7 linked regions of the Macaca fascicularis genome follow. The protein of the gene in region 1 interacts with the protein of each later gene in a biochemical or structural test. Links are inferred from orthologs where the notes say so. Each region holds a gene or a part of one and is shown in the gene's direction. Other genes may lie near its edges. The genes, in order: H3-4, ZMYND11, PHF8, CBX5, HDAC1, CBX3 and ING4.

What was found.
Region 2: the proteins of H3-4 (region 1) and ZMYND11 form a complex in vitro, tested with the Homo sapiens proteins (2 studies listed by BioGRID, with this or other methods). The link is inferred for Macaca fascicularis from reciprocal best matches to the Homo sapiens genes H3-4 and ZMYND11.
Region 3: the proteins of H3-4 (region 1) and PHF8 form a complex in vitro, tested with the Homo sapiens proteins (2 studies listed by BioGRID, with this or other methods). The link is inferred for Macaca fascicularis from reciprocal best matches to the Homo sapiens genes H3-4 and PHF8.
Region 4: the proteins of H3-4 (region 1) and CBX5 interact in a test that uses a peptide from one of them, tested with the Homo sapiens proteins (5 studies listed by BioGRID, with this or other methods). The link is inferred for Macaca fascicularis from reciprocal best matches to the Homo sapiens genes H3-4 and CBX5.
Region 5: of the proteins of H3-4 (region 1) and HDAC1, one has a biochemical effect on the other in vitro, tested with the Homo sapiens proteins (2 studies listed by BioGRID, with this or other methods). The link is inferred for Macaca fascicularis from reciprocal best matches to the Homo sapiens genes H3-4 and HDAC1.
Region 6: the proteins of H3-4 (region 1) and CBX3 interact in a test that uses a peptide from one of them, tested with the Homo sapiens proteins (2 studies listed by BioGRID, with this or other methods). The link is inferred for Macaca fascicularis from reciprocal best matches to the Homo sapiens genes H3-4 and CBX3.
Region 7: the proteins of H3-4 (region 1) and ING4 are reported together in a solved structure, tested with the Homo sapiens proteins (2 studies listed by BioGRID, with this or other methods). The link is inferred for Macaca fascicularis from reciprocal best matches to the Homo sapiens genes H3-4 and ING4.

The regions. Positions count from the first base shown.
Region 1 is NC_088375.1:86,334,956-86,338,884, reverse strand, and holds H3-4 (histone H3.1t), read left to right. Parts: upstream 1-1,129; 5' UTR 1,130-2,281; coding exon 2,282-2,692; 3' UTR 2,693-3,672; downstream 3,673-3,929. UniProt on the Homo sapiens protein: Core component of nucleosome. Nucleosomes wrap and compact DNA into chromatin, limiting DNA accessibility to the cellular machineries which require DNA as a template.
Region 2 is NC_088383.1:642,150-645,649, forward strand, and holds part of ZMYND11 (zinc finger MYND domain-containing protein 11), read left to right. Parts: coding exon 1-51; intron 52-929; coding exon 930-1,202; intron 1,203-1,500; coding exon 1,501-1,686; intron 1,687-3,500. UniProt on the Homo sapiens protein: Chromatin reader that specifically recognizes and binds histone H3.3 trimethylated at 'Lys-36' (H3.3K36me3) and regulates RNA polymerase II elongation. Does not bind other histone H3 subtypes (H3.1 or H3.2).
Region 3 is NC_088395.1:54,015,629-54,019,614, reverse strand, and holds the start of PHF8 (histone lysine demethylase PHF8), read left to right. Parts: upstream 1-1,186; 5' UTR 1,187-1,436; coding exon 1,437-1,452; intron 1,453-1,996; exon of another isoform or gene 1,997-2,567; intron 2,568-2,957; exon of another isoform or gene 2,958-3,213; intron 3,214-3,509; exon of another isoform or gene 3,510-3,525; coding exon 3,526-3,715; intron 3,716-3,986. UniProt on the Homo sapiens protein: Histone lysine demethylase with selectivity for the di- and monomethyl states that plays a key role cell cycle progression, rDNA transcription and brain development.
Region 4 is NC_088385.1:61,082,268-61,085,346, reverse strand, and holds the end of CBX5 (chromobox protein homolog 5), read left to right. Parts: intron 1-1,041; coding exon 1,042-1,192; 3' UTR 1,193-2,579; downstream 2,580-3,079. UniProt on the Homo sapiens protein: Component of heterochromatin that recognizes and binds histone H3 tails methylated at 'Lys-9' (H3K9me), leading to epigenetic repression. In contrast, it is excluded from chromatin when 'Tyr-41' of histone H3 is phosphorylated (H3Y41ph).
Region 5 is NC_088375.1:202,723,227-202,726,726, reverse strand, and holds part of HDAC1 (histone deacetylase 1), read left to right. Parts: intron 1-2,246; coding exon 2,247-2,359; intron 2,360-3,500. UniProt on the Homo sapiens protein: Histone deacetylase that catalyzes the deacetylation of lysine residues on the N-terminal part of the core histones (H2A, H2B, H3 and H4).
Region 6 is NC_088377.1:104,099,243-104,102,742, reverse strand, and holds part of CBX3 (chromobox protein homolog 3), read left to right. Parts: intron 1-1,882; coding exon 1,883-2,025; intron 2,026-3,500.
Region 7 is NC_088385.1:7,585,634-7,589,877, reverse strand, and holds the start of ING4 (inhibitor of growth protein 4), read left to right. Parts: upstream 1-1,444; 5' UTR 1,445-1,462; coding exon 1,463-1,499; exon of another isoform or gene 1,500-1,516; intron 1,517-4,244.

The DNA.
Region 1 (3,929 bases):
TAGGAAGATAAGGGTTAGTTTAATAAAGTTTGTTTGTATAGATTTCTCTTGGCTTCTGTCTTAGTCTGTTTTGTGTTGTTAAAGGAATACCTGAGACTGGATGATTTATTGGAAAAAAAAAAAAAAGGTATTGGCTTATGGTTTCCCAGGCTGTACAAGAAGCACGGTGGCTGGGTGCAGTGGCTCACACCTGTAATCCCAGCTACTCGGGAGGCTGAGGCAGGAGAGTTGCTTGAACTTCCCGGGAGGCGGACGTTGCAGTGGGCTGAGATCACACCACTGCACTCCAGCCTGGGCAACAGGGTGAGACTCAGGTCAAAAAAACAAAAAAAGCACGGTGGCCCAGCATGGTGGCTCAAGCCTGTAATCCTAGCACTTTGGGAGGCCAAAGTCGGGGGATCAGTTGAACTCAGGAATTCAAGACCAGCTTGGTCAACATAATGACAGCCCATCTCTCCAAAAAATTTAAAAATTAGCTGGATGTGGTCCCAGCTACTTGGGAGGCTGAGGTAGGAGGGGCCTGGGCAACAGAGCAAGACTGAAAAAAGAAGGAGAGGAGGGGAGGGGAGGGAAGAAGATAAAAAGAAAGGAAAGGAAGGAAGGAAGAAAGGGAGCGAAGAAGGGAGGGAGGGAGAGAGAAAGGAAGGGAGGGAGGGAGAATGGAAGGAAGCAAGTATAGGGCCCACCTCTGCTTCTGGTGAGGGCCTCTGGCTGCTTCTGCTTATGGTGGAAGGTGAAGGGGAACCCATGTGTGTGCAGAGGTCACAGGACTGCACAAGAGAGGAAGCCAGAAAGAGAGGGGAGGGGAGTGCCAGGCTCTTTTCAACAACCAGCTCTTCAGGGAACCAACAGAGTGAGAACTCACCCTAAAGGAGGGCAGGACTCTATTCAGAGGGTGACACCTCCAGGACCCACACACCTCCCACTGAGCCCCGGCTCCAACTTTAGGGATCAAATTTCAGCTTCAGAGTTGGAGGAGATTTGGAAGCTTCCACCTTCTGGTCCTTGATGATAAGAACGTTCCCTTCCTTTTACTATAAGAACATCTTTCATAGGGGAATTCTATTTCTTGCCTTTAAGAAACAACAAGAAACTCAGAATGATCTTCCTACACCTGCCTCTATTTTTTTTTTTTTTTAAGTGCCTTTATCTCAAAAGAGTTAATATGCCAGAAAGGCATATCTTTACCTTCTTCAGCATCCTAAGGCTCATCTGAGCCATACAGCAAAGGGAGTTCTTTGCAGGTCATAAAAAGTGGAAGATTCCTTTAACTCTGGTTGGATCCCAGAGCTGTATCACTGTGTAAAAGTGGAATGCCGGCTGGGCGCGGTGGCTCACGCCTGTAATCCCAGCATTTTGGGAGGCTGAGGCAGGTGGATCACGAGGTCAGGAGATCGAGATCATCCTGGCTAACATGGTGAAACCCTGTCTCTACTAAAAATACAAAACAAAATTAGCCGGGTGTGGTGGTGGGCGCCTGTAGTCCCAGCTATTTGGGAGGCTGAGGCAGGAGAATTGCCTGAACCCTGGAGGCGGAGCTTGCAGTGAGCCGGGATTGCGCCACTGCACTCCAGCCTGGGTAACAGAGCGAGACTCCGTCTCAAAAAAAAAAAAAAAAAGTGGAATGCCAGCTGGGCCTGGTGGCTCATGCCTGTAATCCCAGCACTTTGGGAGGCCGAGGCAGGTGGATCACCTGAGGTCAGGAGTTTGAGACCAGCCTGGCCAATATGGTGAAAACCCATCTCTTTGTGGTGGATACCTGTAATCCCTGTAATCCCAGTTACTTGGTAGGCTGAGGCAGAAGAATCGCTTGAACCTGGGAGGTAGAGGTTGCAGTGAGCAGAGATCGCGCCATTGCACTCCAGCCTGGGCAACAAGAGTTAAACTCCATCTCAAAAAATTTTTTAAAAATTAATTTTTAAAAAAAGTGGAATGCCACATGCTGGCTTTCGGAAGGCTCTTCCCACCCAAGTCATGAGGAAGGGAGAAGAGGATTGCTGAGGAGACACGAGGAAGCTTGTGCTGGAGAGAGATGATCTCCACCGCCGTGGCCTACCCGCATCAACCCTTCACAATGCTGGTGCTAGCTCTGGTGGCCACGACCAACAAGCACTAATATAAGGGAGAGGCGGCCGAGTGGCGTGCCCTGTGGACCAATCAGAGAGTAGGGGGCCATCACGCCACCTGAGGCCAGCCAATGAAAACGCGGCAAGCTCTATAAAAGCGGGCAATCAGCTGAGGTCTGGTCAGAGGACACGGCAGAGACAACAGTTTCAAATTCATGGCCCGAACCAAGCAGACTGCGCGCAAGTCGACGGGTGGCAAGGCGCCACGCAAGCAGCTGGCCACTAAGGTGGCTCGCAAGAGCGCACCCGCCACTGGCGGCGTGAAGAAGCCGCACCGCTACCGACCTGGCACAGTGGCGCTTCGCGAGATCCGCCGCTACCAGAAGTCCACTGAGCTGCTAATCCGCAAGCTGCCCTTCCAGCGGCTGGTGCGCGAGATCGCTCAGGACTTTAAGACCGACCTGCGCTTCCAGAGCTCGGCCGTGATGGCGCTGCAGGAGGCGTGCGAGTCTTACCTGGTTGGGCTGTTCGAGGACACCAACCTGTGTGCCATCCACGCCAAACGGGTCACCATCATGCCCAAGGACATCCAGCTGGCACGCCGTATCCGTGGGGAGCGGGCCTAGGAGGGCCATCTCGCCACCTGAGAGGTTGCGCAACGTTCACCCCAAAGGCTCTTTTAAGAGCCACCCACCTGGTCGGAAGAGTTGCTGTAGCAAGCCAGGCTCTTGGGTTTTGGGGGTTCCTTCCGCTGGCCGGTGCTGGCTTACCTAATTCTGATTAGGGTGGGAGGCTGGCGAATCCTGTGTTCACCCTGTCCAGTTAGGAGGCCAGCTACTCATGCGCGTTACCTCCCAGCCTGTCTCCAGTTACAAGTCCAGCTAGTCGTGTGTGGTGCTAACTTGGTCTATCCCTTTAGATAAGAATCATGGTTGGTCTGTTTGGGGACGGGGTGTTGAGGGTAGCGTAACTGGCCTATCTCCAGTTAGGTAAGCAACCCCAGCTAGTTGTGTCAACTCAGCCTATCTACAGTTAGGTTGGAAGGCTGGCTGGTCTTGTGTGTTCTCAGCTCAGCCTCTTTCAAACTGTTACAAGTCCTGCGTGTGTGTGTGTGTGTGTGTACACACAGCTTCTTTCCAGTGAGGTTACCAGTCCAGCTAGTCTCCTACCTAGACAGCCTGTTAAGGCCAGCAAGTAGTATGTGTTATCTTGGCCTATTTTCAGTTAGAAGTCCAGCTACTTCACCAGCGTGGCAGCTCAGGTCTGTAATCCCAGCACTTTGGGAGGCCAAGGCGGGTGGATCACCTGAGGTCAGGAGTTCCAGACCTGCCTGGCCAACATGGTGAAACCCCATCTCTACTAAAAAGACAAAAATTAGCCAGGTGTGGTGGCACATGCCCGTAATCCCAGCTACTTGGGAGGCTGAGGCAGGAGAACTGCTTGAACCCAGGAGACAGACGTTGCAGTGAGCCAAGATCATGCCACTGCACTCCAGCATGGGCAACAGAGCGAGACTCAGTCTCAAAACCAAAAAAAAAAAAAAAAAAAACAAAGTCCAGCTACTTGTGTGTGTTAACTCAGCCTACCTCCTGTTAATTTAGAAAGCTGGCTAGTTGTATATCTTGTTAACTTGGGCTATCTCCCATTAGGTTAGAAGGCTGGCTAGGGGTGTGTGTGTGTGTATGTGCGCACGTGCACGTGTGCCCATGTGCACACACATATGTAGCTGTGATGTTGGCCCATCTCCAGTTAGAAGTCCACGTCATTGTATGTGTTAACATACCCAATCTCCCATTCAGTTAAAAGGCTGGCTAGTCATGTATGTTGTTAATTCACCCTATCTTCTGTTAGGGTAGATGACTA
Region 2 (3,500 bases), on another chromosome or scaffold:
CCAAGAGCAAAGAAAGGACGACGTAATCAAAGTGTGGAGCCCAAAAAGGAAGTAAGTTGCCCACCTCGCAGTATCCAGGTGGCAAATGAAACAGGAAATATTTTCAGAGTATTTTGTATTTTCAAGTATTTCAAAGACAATCACTCTTGGTGGATACTTGGAAATTCAGTTGCTGTCAATCGAATAATATCCATCAAGCTGAAACCAGTCTTCTGACTTCCCTGTCATTATCTGTTACCCTGGAATAGCATACATGCTCCAAGTCTCCATCTTAATTCAGCAGCCACTGACCAAAGCTTGGCTAAGTGGGAAGGGCACGTTGCTATTAATACATTTCCTGGGAGCTCTGATATTTTTCCTAAGTATTATTAAAAACAACACATTTATCCAGTATATCGGTTGTGCCAACATTTGAAAACTTGAAGGAGACTGTGGTTGAGCTCAGCCGTTTTAAGTGATATAAGCTCTGCATGTTTTAAAACTGTGTAAATCTGGACACATTTCAAACATATATTCAGTGAGAAGTGGTTTAGACTTTTAGGAAATTTGTTAATGAATCTAGTCCAATGAAGTGATTATAAGTTGACAATACTTTTTATATTCTATAAATTTTTATGTTTATTTTAAAAACAAAACTTACAGTATTAAGTAAAATTATAAATGAAGCTTACGTTTGTAATTGTAGCTGTTGTTAATTGTAGCTGTTGTTAATTGCATGTTCTTTTCATTCACTGATTGGGGGAGATTTGTTTATTTTTAAATTTTGGCAAAATATACATGAAATCTACCATCCTAACCATATTTTTTAACAGAAGTTTATTATATGGCTGTTTACGTATATCACTGTATTTTTAGCCTAATAGAGTAGTTCTTGAACTAGTGAATTATATTGCTTTGTTTTGCATCTAAACTCTTGTCTTACCTTTTAGGAACCAGAGCCTGAAACAGAAGCAGTAAGTTCTAGCCAGGAAATACCCACGATGCCTCAGCCAATCGAAAAAGTCTCCGTGTCAACTCAGACCAAGAAGTTAAGTGCCTCTTCACCAAGAATGCTGCATCGGAGCACCCAGACCACCAGTGATGGCGTGTGTCAGAGCATGTGCCATGACAAATACACGAAGATCTTCAATGACTTCAAAGACCGGATGAAGTCGGACCACAAGCGGGAGACAGAGCGTGTTGTCCGAGAAGCTCTGGAGAAGGTAATGCTTGTCGCCACACTGGGTGCCCTGCTGCAGCCGGCACTCCTGTCATGGTTAGGCTCCTTTTACTCATGCAGCAACCCAGTAGCAGCTTTTAAATGTAGCAATAGAATGACACCAGTATCTTTTATAGCATTTCAAGTAATAACGATACTTTTCTCACCTAAATTTTTTACACATGTAATGAAGGGGAAAACGGTACCTCATGCAAGTAGGAACGATGTGTTAAGTTTCTGTTCCGTTGTAGGCGGTCTGTGTAAGTCGTGCGCTCTTACTGTGGGTTGTCTTTTCATTCCAGCTGCGTTCTGAGATGGAAGAAGAAAAGAGACAAGCTGTAAATAAAGCTGTGGCCAACATGCAGGGTGAGATGGACAGAAAATGTAAGCAAGTAAAGGAAAAGTGTAAGGAGGAGTTCGTAGAAGAAATCAAGAAGCTGGCAACACAGCACAAGCAACTGATTTCTCAGACCAAGAAGAAGCAGTGGGTAAATACCAGTCTTTTTTAGACTGTTATTTCTGAAAACGTACCACAGGTATGATGCCAGTTTATTCAGAAGGTAGCTGTGGCACGTGCAGAAGATGTTTCTGAAATAAGATCAAATGTGAAGTGGTCAGCTTTAGTTTTTAAAATTTTATTAACAGTCCTATGATCTCTCAACCCCAGATCCCGTATTACTGTGTACTGCTCAGGATTATTTTGTTAAATTGAGATTATAATACCTTATTACATATTTATTACAATTAACTTATATAATTTCTCCATCTATGCAAATATTTTATTTGGGCAAATTGGCTGGCCCTAACTTTTACCTGGTGATTTCAGATGGGTAACATCCAAATGGTGAAATTATAAATGTAATTATCACAATAAATTAAAGAGTTTCCGATTTCCCTGCACTTAACATTTATGCATTAGATTTTGTTAAAGAAATCAATTATTTTTACTTTATAGTAGTGACATTTCACTGGTCTCTAACTACCCTCCCTTATACCTGACCAGCTAGTGTCATTTGTCGTCATGTCCGGCTCGCGAGTCTCATCCTCCCCACCAGAGCGGGAGCTTCTGAGTACACAGCATCCAAGTGCTCATCTTACAGTCGCCACAGTGCTCAGTGAATTAGGGAAAAGTTTTGCTCCCGAAAGCTCATAACTTGGTTTCAGTTGACTATATAAAGTTCTGTGATAAACTTTAATTCTTCATTTTATCCAGCCTATATTATATAAATACACATAAACTCTTCATGAAAGAAATATTTTTAAATCTGTGACAAAGATTTGGCAAGAAGGAAAAGAGAAACTTAGCATATAATTTAGAAGAATACATGAAGATAACTTGGTAGGAAGAGGTGGTGAATAACAAAATAAATATTGTTAACAAAAGACCAGGCAATCTGTGGAGGAAAAAAGAGAGCTTTATTTTCTGTTAAAAAAACAGCCTGCACATTGGGTGGCACAGCCTTCAGTACAAGTGAAAGTGTGCTCTCCGAAGAAGAAAATTTCCATATTCTTTAAGAAATTTCATTGGTGCTAGTAAAGTTTTGAGGAGCTGACAAGCTCTGATTGGTGACGGATGGCAGTCGGCAAAACTAGTCTGAGAGTTGCAGCCAACATTTTGTGTTCCAAGTGCTTTTCCCCCCAGCTCCTCAACTCAGTTTTAGTTGGGTATGACAAGAATGACTGAATTTGTGTGATCAACTCTCACAATATCATTAGATAGGAATTAAGGTATGCTCAAAATAACAGAAGCACAACACCCAAAGACGCTCATGCCTGTAGTCCCAGTGCTTTGGGAGGCCAAGGCAGAAGGAGTGCTTGAGCCCAGGAGTTCAAGGTTGCAGAGAGCTGTGATCGCACCACTGCACTCCAGCCTAGGCGATGGAACAAGATCCTGTCTCTTAAAAAATTTTTATGAGTAGAAATCTCTTAAGTTTACTAATAAAGAATCAAGAAAATGGGAAGAAGAGGCAATAATTATAAAACTGTCTTTTATAGCACTTTACCATTTGTGAAATAGCTGAAGTGGGTATTTTTGTACTCTAAGATGAGGAATTTAAGACCTATTAAAAACCCAGTTGGCAGAGCTGAGCTTTGTGTGCTCATCACATTGGGTCTAGTAGACTAGTAAAAGGGTTAGAATTCTTTCTTCTTGGCCAGGCTCCATGCTCACGTCTGTAATCCCAGCACTTGGGGAGGCCGAGGCAGGCAGATCACTGGAGACCATGAAACTCCATCTCTGCAAAAAATACAAAAATTAGCCGGGCATGGTGGCGTGTGCCTGAAACTCCAGCTACTTGGGAGG
Region 3 (3,986 bases), on another chromosome or scaffold:
GGCGTGAGCCACCACGCCTGGCTGTTTTTTTTCTTAAAGATGTCTCACCCTTCCTCCCCCAAACCATATAAGCTTCAGGTCCCATTAAACCTGGACCTTTCAGTGCAGTGGCTCAGGCCTGTAATCCCAATGCTTTTAGAGGATCTCCTAAAACCAGGAGTTTGAGACCAGCCTGGGCAATATAGCGAGGTCTGGGCTCTACAAAAAATCAAAAATAACCGAGTGTGGTGGTATGCGCCTATAGTCCCAGCTACTCAGGAGGCTCTGGCGGAAGGATTGCTTGAGTCCACGAGTTCTAGGGTGAAATGAGCTATGATCGCCCAGCCTGAGTTGACAGAGTGAGACCTTGTCTCTAAAATAAACATTTAAAAAAAAAAAAAAAAAAAAACAACCCTAAACCATCCTCTGGGTAAGTCACAAATATGAGACTCAGCTACTCCTGCTCAAATACCTTCTTTTCTTTTTACTAACTGCATACAATCTAAACTCTTTTGCATTTCGCAATCTTTCATGTTTTGACCCTTTACTGTTTGACCTCCTACCTATCTCTCTTCTGTTCTCCTTGTTCCAACAATATTCAACTTTTAGTAAATATTTTTCTATGTGCCTCCATGCATTTGTACACGTTGATCCTTTTGAGTACAATGTTCTCGCTTGTTTATTTAAGTGAACTTATATTCTCCATGTCTCCCTGCCGTCTTTCTTACAGCAGCTGCAAGCGGTTTGTAAGGCTCTTTTGTAGCTTCGTGTTGCATTTTGCAAAGGTCATTTTGCAGGTGGTATTTGTGAGCTTGCTGCGCCTTCTATTCCATTGTTTACTCGCAACTTTGTTTCCTGCACTGGCAGATGCCCTCCCACTCCAGAGGCCCTGTTTTCACCATTGCATCCCCAGGGCCTAACCCACCATCACTGGTTAGTAAATTGTGTGCACGCACACATTTATTTTTTAAAGCAATGGGACCCTTTAAGAAAATGAAATAGTAAGATAACTCCTAGATAATTTTCTAGAATGTTTGGGAAAACCTAGGCCATCTTGAAGCATATGTATGAAGCTCCACTAACTCAGCAAAGCTCCACTAACTCAGCCTTTCCTCTCATCCCCTATCCCCTCCCCTCAGGCTATAGTCAGAAAATTGTGGGACAGGTGCAAACAAATCCTTGAACTGTATTTGAACTGAAGTGAAACAGTAGGGTCAAAGAAGAGTTCAGAGGGAGTTGTGGAGTTGGCAGCGCTTTACAGAGGAACTACACTGAGGGCCTGAGGACAGAACGCGGGTAGCACAGGGCGCAAGGTTCAACGTCCCTGCTCTGGGACTCAAGTCACTTGGCTTCTCGAGGCCCCTGCCTTCATTTGGTGATAATCACAGAGCTTCCTTCACAGGGGTAAGAACAACGCAGAGACCGTGGGAAAGAGCCCAGCCCGCCGAAGGTGCTCAATGATCAGGAGCCGCGGTGAGTACTCCGCCTCTACCCCGGCTGAAGCCCGCCCCCGCCGTCACCTATTAATTTTGTAGTTTGGAGTCACCGAGTTCACCTCCTCTCATAGGAGGAGTAAGGCTGGGGAGGAGGAGTGTGCGAGTCGGGGTAGCTTAACTCCCTGTTTGCCCGGAGGAGGGGGAAGGCTAGGAAGTTTCGGGCCCCACTCAAAATGGAGCCAAACGTCTGCCTCGCCTAAGATGGCGGCTTCTCCGCCTCTGGGCTCAAGGTCTTCAGCGGCGATTGGGCACCTTAAAGAGACTAGCGGGTCCAAAGGTGGCTGAGAACCGCCCTCCTTTCTCAAGGTGGCGCCCCGCCCCCTGGCGGCGTCACCCGGGAGCCGGCGGCTCGCGGTTCCCCGCCTCCGCCGCGCTCACCTCGCGAGCCCAGCCCTCATAAGATGGCGGTCAAGCCTTGGCTCTGTGGGTAGCGCCGCCACTCTCAACATGGTAGATGTTTACCCCGTATTTCTCCTCCCCTCTCCGCTTCAACTTCCTCGTTGCTTTGAATAAACTTTATTGACTACTCCGAATTGCCTACCACCGCCACTGGGCTTCTCCCAACGACTTTTCGGGCCGTGTGCCTCGGACGTGGCGGCCGGTTCATCTCTTTCCCCGTTGGTTTGCTCGCGACTATCTCCTGCTGGCCCAGCGACGACGCCACTTGCCCGTTCGCCGGGCGGCCGCCAGACTAGGCCCAAGCCGCGGTCTCCAGTAGGCCCGAACGGCCGGGCCGAGGGGAATGTTGTGGAGGAGGCTGCTCTGAAGTACCGTCGGGCGACTGGCGACGCGCGACCCAGCAGGGGGCTCCAGGGGAAGGCGAGCGAGGTTCCCGGCGGTACGGGGACTATCCCAGAATTCGACGCGCGCCGCCGTAGGGGCCGGAACTACCGGACGAGCCTCCGCTGAGGCGCCTCGCCGTCCCGGAGCTAGCCCGGCTGCCGGCGTGTTGCGGGGACTGAGCTCTGCGGGCGTGGAGTCCTTGCAGCCCAAAGCATGAGGAGGTCCCTGTAGGATTCTGGACCGAAGACGTTCTTGTCAGGTTTGGGGCGTGAGGAGGTTCCTGTCAGTTGGGGAAGCGTTAAGATTCCTGTAAGTTTTGGGGGCTGCGAGGGTATTACTGTCAGTGTTAGGATATACCGTGAGGTACCTGAACATTTGTGGGGACTAGGGAGCTCTCATCAGTTTGAGGGGGCTGCAAGGAAACCGTGGCAGTTCCGAGCGATGCAAAAGAATCCTTGCCTAGTTTCAAGAGTGTGAGGAAACTCTAGTCAGTTTGAGGGGTTTTGAATAGATCCTTTTGAGTTTCAGGGATGCAACCAGAAGCCTGTCATCTTGAAAGTACAAAACGAGCTGGTCAGTTTAGAGATTTCTATTTATTTCAGTTTTGGGCGTGACGAGACTCCTGACTGGTCGGGGAAGGAATGATACTGAGAGTGACGGAAAGGATTATTTAAACTCTCGGAACACGACCCCAGAACTGTGATTTGAGTTGGGCGTCTAGTCTTGTCTGTCTTGTTCGTGGAGGCTTTGAGTAACCTGAAGAGACTTTCGGGGATCCCTTATTTCTCTCTGGTTGGCCCTGTTTCGGGGGGTGAGAGGAGGGTCTTGTCTGGCGATACCCCCAGCCTCATTTTTGAGGCTGTGGTTTGCGTCATAATAAAGGGAGCCTTGTGAAACGGGTCAGCTAGGAGAGGGTTCAGTGAGAGATGAAAGAAGCTTCCCGAAAAGGCTTCAGGTATTTTCCTGAAACCCGGAAAGAAGTTATCACTGACTCCGGGGCGAAGAAGGTCGGGGGTGGGGGGTGGGGGGTGGGGGGTGGGGGGTGGGGAGGGTGGGGGCGGTGGAAAGCCTGGAAGGTTGAGCGCCGTTCTTTACGTGTGAAAGAAATTCTAAAGGCCGGGTGGACTTTCTCTGGTTGCCCCCTACAGCCGCACCAGCTGTGTTGCATCCCGGCGGCGGTAACTCTCTATTGGGGAACTGAGGGTTGGTGCAAGGGGGTGGGGGGCGGGGGCTGATTCACTCTGTAAAAAGTGTTGTTTGTGCCTAGCCATCGTCCAGAGAGGACGCGTGCTGCCGCCTTCCGCCCCTCTTGACACGACGAACCTGGCCGGCCGCACAACGCTCCAGGGCCGAGCGAAGATGGCCTCGGTGCCGGTGTATTGCCTCTGCCGGCTGCCTTACGATGTGACCCGCTTCATGATCGAGTGTGACATGTGCCAGGACTGGTTTCATGGCAGGTAAGGAGGGCAGGCCAGGCTACACAGGGTGCGGTGGCCAGGTATGTTCACTTGCTCTCTCTTCCTTTTTCAGCTCTGTTTTTAGATTCCGGCTCAGAACCCCCTCTCCCAGACTCAGGTTCTGCCATTTCTCCTTGCAGACCAGGACCTAGCTGACATTAGCCTCTGGTTTCTCCTTTTCCTGTGTTTTCCCCTATGTATTTCATCTTTGCACCTTTCTTTTGAGTGTTTTTTTTTTTAGATTTATAAGACCCCCCCCCTTTTCTTTGTG
Region 4 (3,079 bases), on another chromosome or scaffold:
GTTACTTACGATTTACATTAACATTAATTAGCTTTTTCCACCGTAGTCCATATTTGAGTATCTGCTCCAATAAGGTGGTAATTTTTCTTGTCCACATCTCAGGATAATTTTATTTTGTTTTTTATTATTTATTTATTTTGAGACAGGGTCTCGCTCTGTTGCCCAGGCTGGAGTTCAGTGGTTCGATCTCAGCTCACTGCAACCTCCACCTCCTAAGCCCAAGTGATCCTCCCACCTCAGCCTCCCAAGTAGCTGGGACCACAAGTGTGCACCACCATGCCTAGCTAATTTTTGTATTTTTTGGTAGAGATGGGTTTTGCCATGTTGCCCAGGCTGGTCTCGAACTCCTGGGCTCAAGCGATCCACCTGCCTCAGCCTCCCAAAGTGCTAGGATTACAGGCGTGAGCTACTGTGCCTGGGCTTCTCAGGATAATTTTAATTTTTTAAAAACTGATTTGGAATCATGTTTAAGGAACCATGTGGCTAGATTTTTTTGTTATACTTGGTAGTAGAGGTTGTGTAACTGAGATAATTGAAATTTGTAGCTAAATTTTTATTTGCTTGTTGTTCCAATCCACAGTTCTGACCAGAGGGGTAATAAGTATTTAAACAGACACAAAGTGAGGAGGGTTAAGACCTCTTCACTTAGATGATCTGGAAACTGGATTGACCAACCTGTGTATAATTGACTTATGCATAATTAATAGAGCTGAATGTAGGTTTGATTGGGTTCACTCACATGCTTGTATTCACAAATAAAAATTTTGGAAGCAGATTAATATTATTTATCATTCAGCTTTTTAACCTAAGCCTACCATGGTTTACATCTAAATTCTAGCTACAGACATCTGTTTCTGTATATTAGGTATTAATCCATTTACTTAAATTTCTTCTTGAAAATATTGAAAGGGTCCTTTTCACCTTGAAACCAAGGTGAGGAGGAAATCAAGTCAATTAAATCCGTATAATGACATAAACTTACGTCTGGACAGATTCTTTCACTCTTCCTCTCCTTTTAAATCTCATATTATTTCTCTCCAGGAAAGACACAGATGAAGCTGACCTGGTTCTTGCAAAAGAAGCTAACGTGAAATGTCCACAAATTGTGATAGCATTTTATGAAGAGAGACTGACATGGCATGCATATCCTGAGGATGCGGAAAACAAAGAGAAAGAAACAGCAAAGAGCTAAAGGAGGGGATGGTCTCTGTCATTTCTCTTTGTACATAATACATTCACCTCCCTGCCTCCTCTCCCTTCTACCCACCCCTTTCTATCCTAAACACATCCATAAAAAATGTGCTTATCACTGTGCTCCACAGGAGAAATGTTGGTATTGGTTCTCTTGTAACATAACTGATGGTCTGATTAATGATGAGTGTCTCTCTGTGAAGACCAGGCATTTACATACTGAGTGTAATACCCACAATTTTTTTTTCCTTTGCCCTGATCTCTTCCTTCTGCTCCCCTGTGACCTCAAGATGAGTTTTAACTTTTTAATCACCTTAGAGTCTTGATTTTTAGATTGGGGGATTTTGTCACAATGATGTTGAATTTTGGTTTCTTGCTTTGGTTCTTAGAACATGTTGCTGACTAGCTGGCCTTTGTTCTGACATGTTGAGATGGAAAGGATGTTGCCCGTCTGTTAAAAAGCCAATAGCAACTGCCTACCTGTTGGGGCTTTCCCAACCTTGTTCAGCTCTACCCAGGAGAATACAGGGTTTCTGGTGTGGTCTTCTGGGCCACCCTCTGTTGTTCATCCTCACTTATCCTCCCAGAATTACTCCATCCTTTGGAAGATTTGAAATTTTACACTGAAATTTGTCAAGACACTCTTTTTAGCCCCAGGACTTTTGGTCTTGCTTTTAGCACTCTCCACTTCTGCTTCTGTAAAGTGATATCAATTTGTGATAAAATGACAAGATTATTAACTGTGGAGATTTTTAGCTATAGTACATGAGGATGATGGGGTAGGGTACAATTGTCTTTATTATCACATATGGTATGTATGTATGATTTCTTTCCATTCCTCATATTTAGACTGTATATTTATGTAGGTGTGAGTGTTTGCCTGGTGCTTGCTTGTGCCAAGGTGCTAGGCACCCTCCAAGCCTGCCAACTTTTGTGGCCTCCCAAAGCATTCCTGTTACCAAAGAGGCTTCAAACCTGACCCTCACTTCTCAGTGGACCCGAGTTTCCCTTCCATGCCATTATTTTCAGTGGGGAAGTTTTAGAGGTGAGCTGTTGGCCACAATATCAATTTTAAGTATTCATAGCAGTTAAAAGTCTCTTGCATTCTTGGCTCCTGGATTTACCACCAAGAGTCCCCAAAATATTAATGCTCTTCCCTTTTTCTACCCTCAAACTTATAGTTGTATCTTATTTTTTAAAATGAATTTTCATGGCCCGGCACAGTGGCTACCACCTGTAATCCCAGCACTTTGGGAGGCTGAGGCAGGAGAATTGCTTGAAGCCAGAAGTTTGAGACCAGCCTGGGTAATGTAGTGAGACCCCTGTCTCTAAAAAATATAAATAAATAAAAATAAAGGCATGTTCCTAAAAGACTATCACCTTGGAAAGTGACAGGCCCTGGCATTATTAGCATGTTGACACAACCTTTTCTCCTTACTCAGCAAAATATTTCCTTTTGGTTTCTTCTTGTGTTGCTATTATATTGAGAAATTTGTCTGATCATATCCTTCTGCCTTTGTCCCCCAAGAAATGTCCTACTTTATCCTTTTCTTTTTGTGGTTGAGGAGGGCTAGAGAATCACAATTAGAAGTAAGGAAATAGCAGGGTTTTGAGGACCCTTGCCCCAGCCCCAAAGCTGAGGAAATAAGAATAAATGCTTAATATAGCCTTAATTCTAGAGTGCACCAGCCATGAGGCTGCTTTTCTTGTTGCTTTTGATTTTTAAAACATACAGCTGTCTGGCCAGGAGCATCCACCATTTCTAGATTATTCAGAGTAATGAGGGGAATGGATGGATTGCTCCAGTCCACAGATGAGCCACATAATATGCAAATCATATACCCATTCATAGCATTTGTTAACATTGCTTCCCTGCTCAGCTGCTGAT
Region 5 (3,500 bases), about 120 Mb from region 1:
AGAGACCGGTTTCACCGTGTTAGTCAGGATGGTCTTGATCTCCTTACCTCGTGATCCGCCCATCTCGGCCTCCCAAAGTGCTGGGATTACAGGCTGAGCCACCATGCCCGGCTGGGAATAGACATCTTACTCGAGAAACCGAGTTTTGCAGTGAGGTCATTACTTTGGGACTCAGATTTGGCTCTGCCATTGAGAAGCTTTGCAATACTAGGCAAGTCACCTTACATTTCAGATTACTCTCCTATAAAATCAAAATGATAGGAGTTCCTATTATGAGAACAATGATGGGAAAGCTCTTTAAGAGTTTAAAGTATGGCTGGCGCCAGGCTCACGTCTGTAATCCCAGCACTTTGAGAGGCCAAGGTGGGTGGATCATTTGAGGTCAGGAGTTTGAGACCAGCCTGGCCAACATGGTGAAACCCTGACTCTACTAAAAGTACAAAACTTAGGCGTGGTGGCACATGCCTGTAATCCCAGCTACTCAGGAGGCTGAGGCAGGAGAATTGTTTGAACCCGGCAGGCAGTGAGCCTGAGATCGCACCACTGAACTCTAGCCTGGGTGACAGAGTGAGACTCTGTCTCCAAAAATAAAAATAAAAATTAAGTCGTACCTAAATAAAAAGGACAATTTCTTTTAAAGTCTCTCAGCAACCTGATTAAGATATAGAGATATGTCTTTATTTTAATTATAGTAAATTTAGTCATGAAGGATGCAGTCACTCAAGAAGTTATATAGAAGAGGATCCAGGGTGGAATTCTAAGGAAGTGGACAGTACCCCTCATGCTCCGTACCACCCTGTCATAGCATTTGTCAATGTGTATAGGAATACACACAGCACGGTTGGCAAACTAATTAAAAACTTAGGAAAAGGATGGTTGGCCTGCACTATTGGAGGCTCACATCTGTAATTCCAGCACTTTAGAAGGCTAATCAGGAGTTTGAAACCAGCCTGGGCAACAAAGCAAGATGCCATCTCTACAAACAAGCAAACAAACAAAAACATCAAACAAACAAACAAAAAAACGTAAAAAGAAAAGGATGGTGTCTCAGAGCCCCACCCTGACTACCCTCACCTCAGGTACTCCCTTACCCTTCTGGATAAGGTATCTTAGTCCTCCAGGTCTGAGCCTTGACTGGATGCAGGCTTGATAGGCAAGGGAGTTGCTAGGGATCAAGGCTCATGCCTTTTTTTCACTGGGTGGCGAAAGCTCTGCCTCAAGCTAATAAACCTCTAAGGAGAGATCTTTGGGTGTATAGTTCACTTGATTTTGCAACAGTGTTCAAGGAACTTTCTACCAGGTAGATTTATAGGGCCCTCTAGATTAAGTGCAAACTAAAGTAGGTACCTGAGAAACCCAGTGTAGGGCCGGGCACAGTGGCTCATGCCTGTACTCCCAGCACTTTGGGAGGCTGAGGCGGGTGGATCACAAGGTCAGGAGATCGAGACCATCCTGGCTAACACAGTGAAACCCTGTCTCTACTAAAAAAAAAATGCAAAAAATTAGCCGGGCGTGGTGGAGGGCGCCTGTAGTGTCAACTACTTGGGAGGCTGAGCCAGGAGAATGGCATGAACCCAGGAGGCAGAGCCTGCAGTGAGCCGATATTGTGCCACTGCGCCCCAGCCTGGGCAACAGAGTGAGACTGTCTAAAAAAAAAAAAAGAAAAAAAAAAAAGAAAAAGAAACCCAATGTAGCTTTTAGCATATTGGATTTGGAGTCAGAAGAGTGGGCTCCAGATCATTCATTAGCTGTGTGATCTTGAGCAGGCACTTAACTTCTCTGAGACTCAATTCAATTCATTGAATCTTTATTGAGCCTCTGTGATATACAAGGCATATTAATCCTTGCCTTCAAGGGGTACCCAGTCTTGTGGATATAGTCATGTAAATAATTCAGATATAAAATAATCCTAGCACTTTCGGAGGCTGAGGTGGGAGGATCACTTGAGGTGAGGAGTTTGAGACCAGCCTGGCCAACATGGTGAAATCCCACCTCTACTAAAATACAAAAATTAGCTGGGTTTGGTGGCACGCACCTGTAATCCCAGCAATTTAGGAGGCTGAGGCAGGACAATTGCTTGAACCTGGGAGGCGGAGGTTGCAGAGAGCTGCCGAGATAGCACCATTGCACTCCAGCCTGGGTACAGAGCGAGACTCCATCTCAAAAAAAAGAAAAAAAAAATTCCTGGGTTCTCCTGGGAGTGTATGTCTAACCGTTTCGTGAAGCTGTCACTGTCTCTTCTTCAGGGGATGTTGGAAATTACTACTACGGACAAGGCCACCCAATGAAGCCTCACCGAATCCGCATGACTCATAATTTGCTGCTCAACTATGGTCTCTACCGAAAAATGGAAATCTATGTGAGTTACCATATGTGCTATTATTCCCTAACTGCATCTGCTCTGGTTCCCTATATGCCATTCATTATCTCATTTTCTCCACCACTCATTTACATGTTGACTGCTGTTACAAGGCAGGTACAATAAATGATAAAGATTTTTGGCTGGGCATGGTGGCTTACGCCTGTAATCACAGCACTTCAGGAGGTGGAGGCAGGAGGATCACTTGAACCTAGGAGTCCTAGGCCAGCCTGGGCAACATAGGGAAATCCTGTCTCTACAACAAAATTTGGCCATGGTGGCGTGTGCCTGTGGTCTCAGGTACTTGGGAGGCTGAGGTGGGAAGACTGCTTGAGCCTGGGAGGTCGAGGCTGCAGTGAGCTATGATTGCACCACTGCATTTCAGCCTGGGGGACAGAGCAAGACTCTGTCTTAAAAAAAAAGCTAGGCTGGGCATGGTGGCTTACGCCTGTAATCCCAGCACTTTGGGAGGCCGAGGTCAGGAGATTGAGACCATCCTGGCTAACACGGTGAAACCCTGTCTCTACTAAAAATACAAAAAATTAGCCGGGCATGGTGGCGGGCGCCTGTAGTCCCAGCTGCTCGGGAGGCTGAAGCAGGATAATGGTGTGAACCCATGAGGCAGAGCTTGCAGTGAGCTGAGATCGCACCACTGCACTCCAGCCTGGGTGACAGAGCGAGACTCCATCTCAAAAACAAAACAAAACAAAAAAACAAAGCCAGGTGCAGTGGCTCATGCCTGTCATACTAGCACTTTGGGAGGCCGAGATGGGCAGATTGCTTGAGCCCAGGAGTTCGAGACCAACTTGGTCAACATGGCAAGACCTCGTCTTTACAAAAAAGTAGCCGGGCATGGTAGCAAGTGCCTGTGGTCCCGGCTACTTAGGAGGCTGAGGTGGGAGGATCATTTTGAGCCTGGGAAGCAGAGGTTACAGTGATCCGTGATTGTACTACTGTGCTCCAGCCTGAGAGACAGAGTGAGACCCTGTCTCAAAAAACCTGTAATCCCAGCACTTTGGGAGGCCGATCTTCGAGTTTTTAAAGAGATGCTGGAAATCCAGATTATTATGTAAAATCTCCCAAGAAACCTTGTCTCTACAAAAAATACAAAAAAAAAATTAGCTGGCATGCTGGCCTGCAC
Region 6 (3,500 bases), on another chromosome or scaffold:
GTACTCAAGTATCTTGACTAATGAGAATCATAAGACCTGACTTGGAAATGGTATCCGAGAAAGTCAGGTGTTTGCTGCATTTTTTTGTATTCCAGGGGAGTGTGTGTGTGTGTGTGTGTGTGTGTGTGTGTGTGTGTGTGTTACCTATATGCTTGCTTGCATAGCTTGAAATGTCATTTTGCAGTCTTGAGGCCTTTCTTACATGTGTGTCTGCGCACTTCATATGCCTGCATAGCTTGAAATGTCCTTTTGTAGCCTTGAGGTGTTGCTGTTAACTTTTTTCTGCTTGCTGCTTTACTTGTGGGATGGCTTTAGTGACTGGGCAATTAAGGTTTATCTTTTTTTGATAGTATTTGGGTTTTTTGGTTTTGTGGGGGGGTTTTTTTGAGACAGTTTTTCTCTTGTCCAGGCTAGAGTGCAATGGCGTGATCTTGGCTCATCGCAACCTCGGCCTCCCGGGTTCAAGCGATTCTCCTGCCTCAGCCTCCCAAGTAGCTGGGATTACAGGCATGCATCACCATGCCTGGCTACTTTTTTATTTTTAGTAGAGACAGCGTTTCTCCATGTTGGTCAGGCTGGTCTCAAACTCCTGACATCAGGTGATCTGCCCACCTCAGCCTCCCAAAGTGCTGGCATTACAGGCATGAGCCACCACGCCTGGCAGTAGCATTTGTTTTAAGATGAAATGTTAAGGTGGATTTCTTCTCTGCCCATAGGATCTTCTGATTAACCATTTCGGGGTTTTTCCCCCGCATTTTTAATCTCATAAAAATTTTCCCCATTTTTAATCCTCTCATAGCAAATCTTGAGCTATTGAAGAGAGCTGATTGAGGTTGGTTTCCTGCTTCTCTTAAATAGTGTCATACAAAAAAATGCCTGTTTAAAGTGAAGTTGGCTACCAATATAGACTTTGTCTTGAGAAACCAGGAAGGAAGGATTTTTTTCACCTTAGAGAATTAAAATCTCCCCTTTTGTCCTCTTGAAGTGACAGCTTTATAGGTTCTAAGTGGTAGGAAATATTATCTACAGAGATGGAAAAATAATCTTGTCCTTTAACCTCCTAGTGGTCTCCATAGTTGACCTTGCAGTTGGTATCAGGATTGTGAACCACGTGTTCATTCTGCGCTTACCTTTTATTTGTATTATTGAAGCTTTTGACATTAGTATTTGAATTGAGAAGGAGGCTCTTAGGTCTGTCGTTGGTTCACCTAAGACCTGTCACTACTATTTTCTTCTCTGTATCACCCTGTAAGTACTTCCTGCATAGTTGCTGTGTTGTTAAAATGAGTGAAAACTCTAGTAAACTTGGTCTTTTAAGACTACAGGGCCGGGCGCAGTGGCTTACGCCTGTAATCCCAGCACTTTGGGAGGCAAAATCACTTGAAGTCAGGAGTTTGAGACCAGCCTGGTCAACATGGTGAAACCCCGTTTCTAATAAAAATACAAAAAAAATTAGCCCGGCATGGTGGCATGTGCCTGTAATCCCAGCTACTTGGGAGGCTGAGGCTTGATAATTGCTTGAACCTAGGGAGGCAGAGGTTGCAGTGAGCCGAGATCACGCCATTGCACTCCAGCCTGGGCAACAGAGTGAGAGACCCTGTCTCAAAAAAAAAAAGACTGGAAAAAAAGTAATTTTTCCAGATAGTGTTTTTGATTGTATTATTTTGGTGGTGGGTCATAAGTTTGAGCTAAATCAACAAAATAAAGCATTCTTTTATTTTATTGTCTGTTGACTTTTAATCTTTCCCTGTCTGCCCTGGGATGTGGAAGTAAAAAGTAAAAATTTATGTTGAATGTAATAATAATGTAAGCAATTGAGCCTTGAAAATGTACCCAAAATTCAAGAAGAATATTTCTTAATTTCTCATTTGTTTTATTTTAGCAAAAAATGGGGAAAAAACAGAATGGAAAGAGTAAAAAAGTTGAAGAGGCAGAGCCTGAAGAATTTGTGGTGGAAAAAGTACTAGATCGACGTGTAGTGAATGGGAAAGTGGAGTATTTCCTGAAGTGGAAGGGATTTACAGAGTAAGAAACTTTAGTGCATCTGTATTGTATGTTTGACTGCAGCTAAGTGGTTTTAGAATTTGTTTTTAACCTGACTCTTTTACCTGCTTTCCCATAGATGTCTTTAAATGTAAAGACACCTTGAATTTAGGTATCTTATTTGAAGTCTATTTAAAAAGAACCAAAACTTTATTGTACAGTTGAAGCTGAGCAGACTAGAGACTAGTTTATTACCCTGGGGAGTCAAATTTGTAAAATTATAGAGTGTAGTTTACTATATAATGTATTTTAATGTGGTTAGATATTATACTGATTATAACAATCTGCATTGTTTTCCTCCACACAGAGGGTACTAAAAAACATTGAAGCTATATAGTATAGACTAGTGGGTCTCATACAGGATTACCTATAATCTAGGCTTTATACTAAGTTTATTATGTCCTAATACCTAAGAAGTAGAGCCTGGGCTTGTTTTAAGCTCTCTGGTTCCTTGTGTTCTTTGATACGGATTCTTGATAATTTTCACAAAATGTGAATAACTTGAACATGCAGCAATTACATACTTTAACACTTGGTGTTTGTTGTGCTTATCTGCTTTGATTCTTCCCTGTTACACCACAAAGCTCCATAGGCAGTGACAATTAAAAATGGATAGGTGGAGATCAATTTCCTGAGCTTGCTGGAGATAGAGCATATGGTAGTCAAATGATTGGGCTTCACATATCTGTTATCTCGTGCTTTCCCTGCTCTTCACATTTAATTCATAGCAGTTTGGGAAATATGAGTTGAATGGGAGATTTACGTTTTCCTGTTTTATCCTCCAGTGTTTTTAGTTGAAATTAAGTATGTATCATAAGTCCATACTTTATTAAGCCCATGAAACATGAAAAATTATTTTTACCCAGCAAAACTTTAGGAAATGAATGGGCTCCTCCCTTTTTCTTCTCCCAAAACTTAAGGCCACTAGCAAAATTATACTGCATTTGGCCATGTGCAGTGTAATAAGTAATGTAAAAGACTCTTTTCTTTTTTTTTTTAGACGGAGTCTCGCCCTGTTGCCCAGGCTGGAGTGCAGTGGCGTGATCTCAGCTCACTGCAACCTCTGTCTCCCGAGTTCAAGCAATTTTCCTGCCTCAGCCTCCCGAGTAGCTGGGACTACAGGCATTTGCCACTATGCCCAGCTAATTTTTGTATTTTAGCAGAGACAGGGTTTCACCATGTTGGCCAGGCTGATCCCAAACTCCTGACCTCAAGGGATCCACCTGCTTTGACCTCCCAAAGTTCTGGGATTACAGGTGTGAGCCACCACACCCAGCCAAGAAGACTTTAATGAAAATAATATTACAGAGCAGAGACTTTTATTGTTCTCTACCCAGTAATTTGGATTTACTAATTTAGAGTCTCAAATTAGAATGTAGGGCCTGGGTGCAGTGGCTCACACCTGCAATTCCAGCACTTTGAGGGTCCAAGGCTGGAGGATCACTTGAAACCAGGAA
Region 7 (4,244 bases), on another chromosome or scaffold:
ACTAGCCCTGTAGTGATAGTGCTGCATCACTCGACCCCTTCAGAATTATGATGCTAACATCACATATAAACAAAAGGAAAACAAAAACATGAGGTTTCCCCCTTAGAGAGTAGCAAGAGGTGCCAGGCACAGTGAATCACGCCTGTAATCCCAGCACTTTGAGAGGCTGAGGAGGGCAGATCGCCTGAGGTCGGGATTTCAAGACCAGCCTGACCAACATGGAGAAACCCCGTCTCTACTAAAAATACAAAATTAGCCAGGTGTGATGGTGCATGCCTGTAATCCCAGCTACACGGGAGGCTGAGGCAGGAGAATCACTTGAACCTGGGAGGTGGAGGTTGTGGAGAGATGGCTCCATGATCACGCTATTGCACTCCAGCCTGGGCAACAAGAGTGAAAATTCTGTCTCAAAAAAAAAAAGTAGCAAGAGGGCAACGTCAGAAGTAATATTTTGGCCGGGCGCGGTGGCTCAAGCCTGTAATCCCAGCACTTTGGGAGGCCGAGATGGGCGGATCACGAGGTCAGGAGATCAAGACCATCCTGGTTAACACGGTGAAACCCCGTCTCTACTAAAAATACAAAAAAACTAGCCGGGCGAGGTGGCGGGCGCCTGTAGTCCCAGCTACTCGGGAGGCTGAGGCAGGAGAATGGCGTAAACCCGGGAGGCGGAGCTTGCAGTGAGCTGAGATCCGGCCACTGCACTCCAGCCTGGGCGACAGAGCGAGACTCCGTCTCAAAAAAAAAAAAAAAAAAAAAAAAAAAAAAAAAAAAAAAAAAAAAAAAAGAAGTAATATTTTATATGTGAAAGTATTCGAGTATAAAGTACAGGAGGTCTGACAAAAGATGTGCAGAATTATAGCATTATTGTCATTATTTGTATTTATAAGTAGAAAGTTGATAATCCTTCTCAAGCTTAAAAAATAATGCTGGGGGAGATGGTGTTTGTGTGAGTGAAAAGAAATGCAAAGGGTTTAAATCTCTCAAGGCTTGATACTCTTCCCCAACTTCCTTAAGAAACTAACTGGCTTGAAAAAAGTCATATTCTGCAAAGAGGGAAAAAAAGCTGTATCTTCCAGTCGCTGAGAAGGGATGTTTACGCAATATAAGCCTAAAGTGAACAGTTACCCCTGCACCGATTGCTATACATTCCCGTTTTGGAGGGAAAAAAGTTTGCCCGATAATGCAAAATGGCGACCTTCAGTGACGTCATACCTGTCTCGGTCGCGTCCTGGGGTCTCTGTAAGGGCGGAAGCGGGCTACAGCTGCCTCACTATGGGCGGTCGTGGCTACCATGCAAAAGGAAAAGTTTGAGCGTCGGGCGGATGTGTACCGGCGGTAACATAGTAAGGGCGGAAGTTCTCCTTTTAAGGGCGGAAAGGCTTTAGCCCCAAAATGGCTTCGGACCCTGTCGCGTTATAGTCACTTCCGGGGCGGATCGGAAGTTGCTTTGTTTTGCTTCGAGATGGCTGCGGGGATGTATTTGGAACATTATCTGGACAGTAAGAGCAGGCTGGAGGTGGGGGTCGGGGCTGTAGAGTGGTGCGGGGATCAGGGATGAGAGGATCTGTAGCCCTTAAGTCTCAATGACGAGAAGGTTACAATTGTGAGGGGGTTCTGTGGCAGGAAATATTGGAGGGTGCGGAGAAAGAGGGGGCGGGGCAGCAGGATCGAGGCCCCGCTGTTGGGGGTAGAGGAGGGAGGGGCTGCGGTGTGGGGGTTAGGGACGTGTCTTGAAGGGCTAGTGTGCACGGCCGGGAAGATAATTGCTGCCCCCATTCTCCAGCGTCTCCAGCCTCTGGGTAGATTTTTTTCCTATAGTCGTTCAGAATCGTTATCACCCACTGTCATTTGGAGCAGCGGTGAAGACCCCTCCTCCACCCCATTCTTCCTCAGAAGTGGCTTCTCGTGGGGTTGAGAGTGGTGGTGGTGAGAGTGGTGGTGGTGAGAGTGGTGGTGGTGAGTGACCACTGTCAGATGATGAGCTGGAACGCTTCTCTTCGTGGAGTAAAGATCTAATTCCCATCAAATGAAAATCTGGTGTTATGCCATTTATGTAAACCACCCCTGCACAAAGCCTGTCGCCCTATGCGCTTACATTTGTTTTAGGGCCCGGAGTCATTTATTCAACAAATATTTATTGAGTTCCTACTATGGGTCAGACATAATGGCAGGCACTAGGGATAGAAAAATGGGTAAGACAAGGCCCCTGCCCTCAAGAAGCTCTCGATCTAGAAGGAAACAGATTCTGCAAGTAATTGTAAAACACTGTGACAAGTGAAATAATGGAAATCCATTAAAAAGGACATTTGGTAGGCAACACTGCAGAAAAGGGGGGTAATTACCTGGCGATGTAGGAAAAGCTTTACAGAGGAGGTGATGTTTGAATAGGGTCTTGAAGGTTGTTTGCCAGTGAGGAGAGAAAAAGGGAATTCTAGGTTGGGGAAAGTGTCTGCAAAGGTACTGTGATAGGTTTGTGGCAAAGTCAAGGGTGTTTGATATTTATGACTCAGAGGTCAGCGTATTTAATATTTATGACTCTAAGGTAAGAAATTGAGAAACGAGACTGGAGAAAGAAGCTGAGGCTAGATTGGACAAAGTCTTTTAAGCCAAACTAAGAAGTTTGCATTTTAAAGTACAATGTGATTTTTATAAACGAAAATGACTAATATATGGTACATTGAAGCATGATATCACTGATAACAGAGATCAATTTAGTGATAACATTCCAGGACAGAGATAAGAACCTGATTTTAGGGAGTTATGGAAGTATTTAGGAGTTAAATATGAAAGGACTGCCGGGCGCGGTGGCTCAAGCCTGTAATCCCAGCACTTTGGGAGGCTGAGACGGGCGGATCACAAGGTCAGGAGATCGAGACCATCCTGGCTAACACGGTGAAACCCCGTCTCTACTAAAAAATACAAAAAACTAGCCGGGCGCGGTGGCGGGCGCCTGTAGTCCCAGCTACTCGGGAGGCTGAGGCAGGAGAATGGCGTAAACCCGGGAGGCGGAGCTTGCAGTGAGCTGAGATCCGGCCACTGCACTCCAGCCTGGGCGACAGAGCCAGACTCAGTCTCAAAAAAAAAAAAAAAAAAGAAAGGACTGACTGACTGGGTGGTTGAGAGAGAAGGAAGAATCTAAGGTGGCTTCTTGCTGCTTAGAAAGTGAGGTAGACAGGCTGGGCACAGAATCTTATGCTTGTAATCCCAGCACTTTGGGAGGCCAAGGTGGGCAGATCACTTGAGGTCAGGAGTTTGAAACCAGCCTGGCCAACATGGTGAAACCAGTCTCTATTTAAAAAAAAAAAAAAATTTATCTGGGCATGGTAGCATGTGACTCTAATCCCAGCTACTTGGGAGGCTGAGTCAGGAGAATCACTTGAACCCAGGAGGTGAAGATTGCAGTGAGCCAAGATCATACCACTGCACTCCAGCCTGGGCGACAGAGAGAGACTCTGTGTCCCTCTTAAAAAAAAAAAAAAAAAAAAAAAGGCCGGGCGCGGTGGCTCAAGCCTGTAATCCCAGCACTTTGGGAGGCCGAGACGGGTGGATCACGAGGTCAGGAGATCGAGACCATCCTGGCTAACACGGTGAAACCCCGGCTCTACTAAAAAATACAAAAAACTAGCCGGGCGAGGTGGCGGGCGCCTGTAGTCCCAGCTACTCCGGAGGCTGAGGCAGGAGAATGGCGTGAACCTGGGAGGCGGAGCTTGCAGTGAGCTGAGATCTGGCCACTGCACTCCAGCCTGGGCGACAGAGCGAGACTCCGTCTCAAAAAAAAAAAAAAAAAAAAAAAAAAAAAAAAAAAAAAAAAAAAACTTGTGGCCAGGCCAGGTGGCTCACGCCTGTAATCCCAGCACTTTGGGAGGCTGAGGCGGGCGGATCACGAGGTCAGGAGATCGAGACCAGCCTGGCTAACACAGTGAAACCCCGTCTCTACTAAAAATACAAAAAAATTAGCTGGGCGTGGTGACGGGCACCTGTAGTCCCAGCTACTCAGGAGGCTGAGGCAGGAGAATCGCTTGAACCTGGGAGGCGGAGGTTACAGTGAGCCACTGCATTCCAGCCTGAGCAACAGAGTTAGACTCCGTCTCAAAACAAAAACAAAAAGGCTGGGAGTGGTGGCTCACGCCTGTAATCCTAGCACATTGGGAGGCTGAGATGAGTGGATCACCTGAGGTCAGGAGTTCAAGACCAGCCTGGCTAACATGGTGAAACCGTCTTTACTAAAAATACAAAAATTAGCT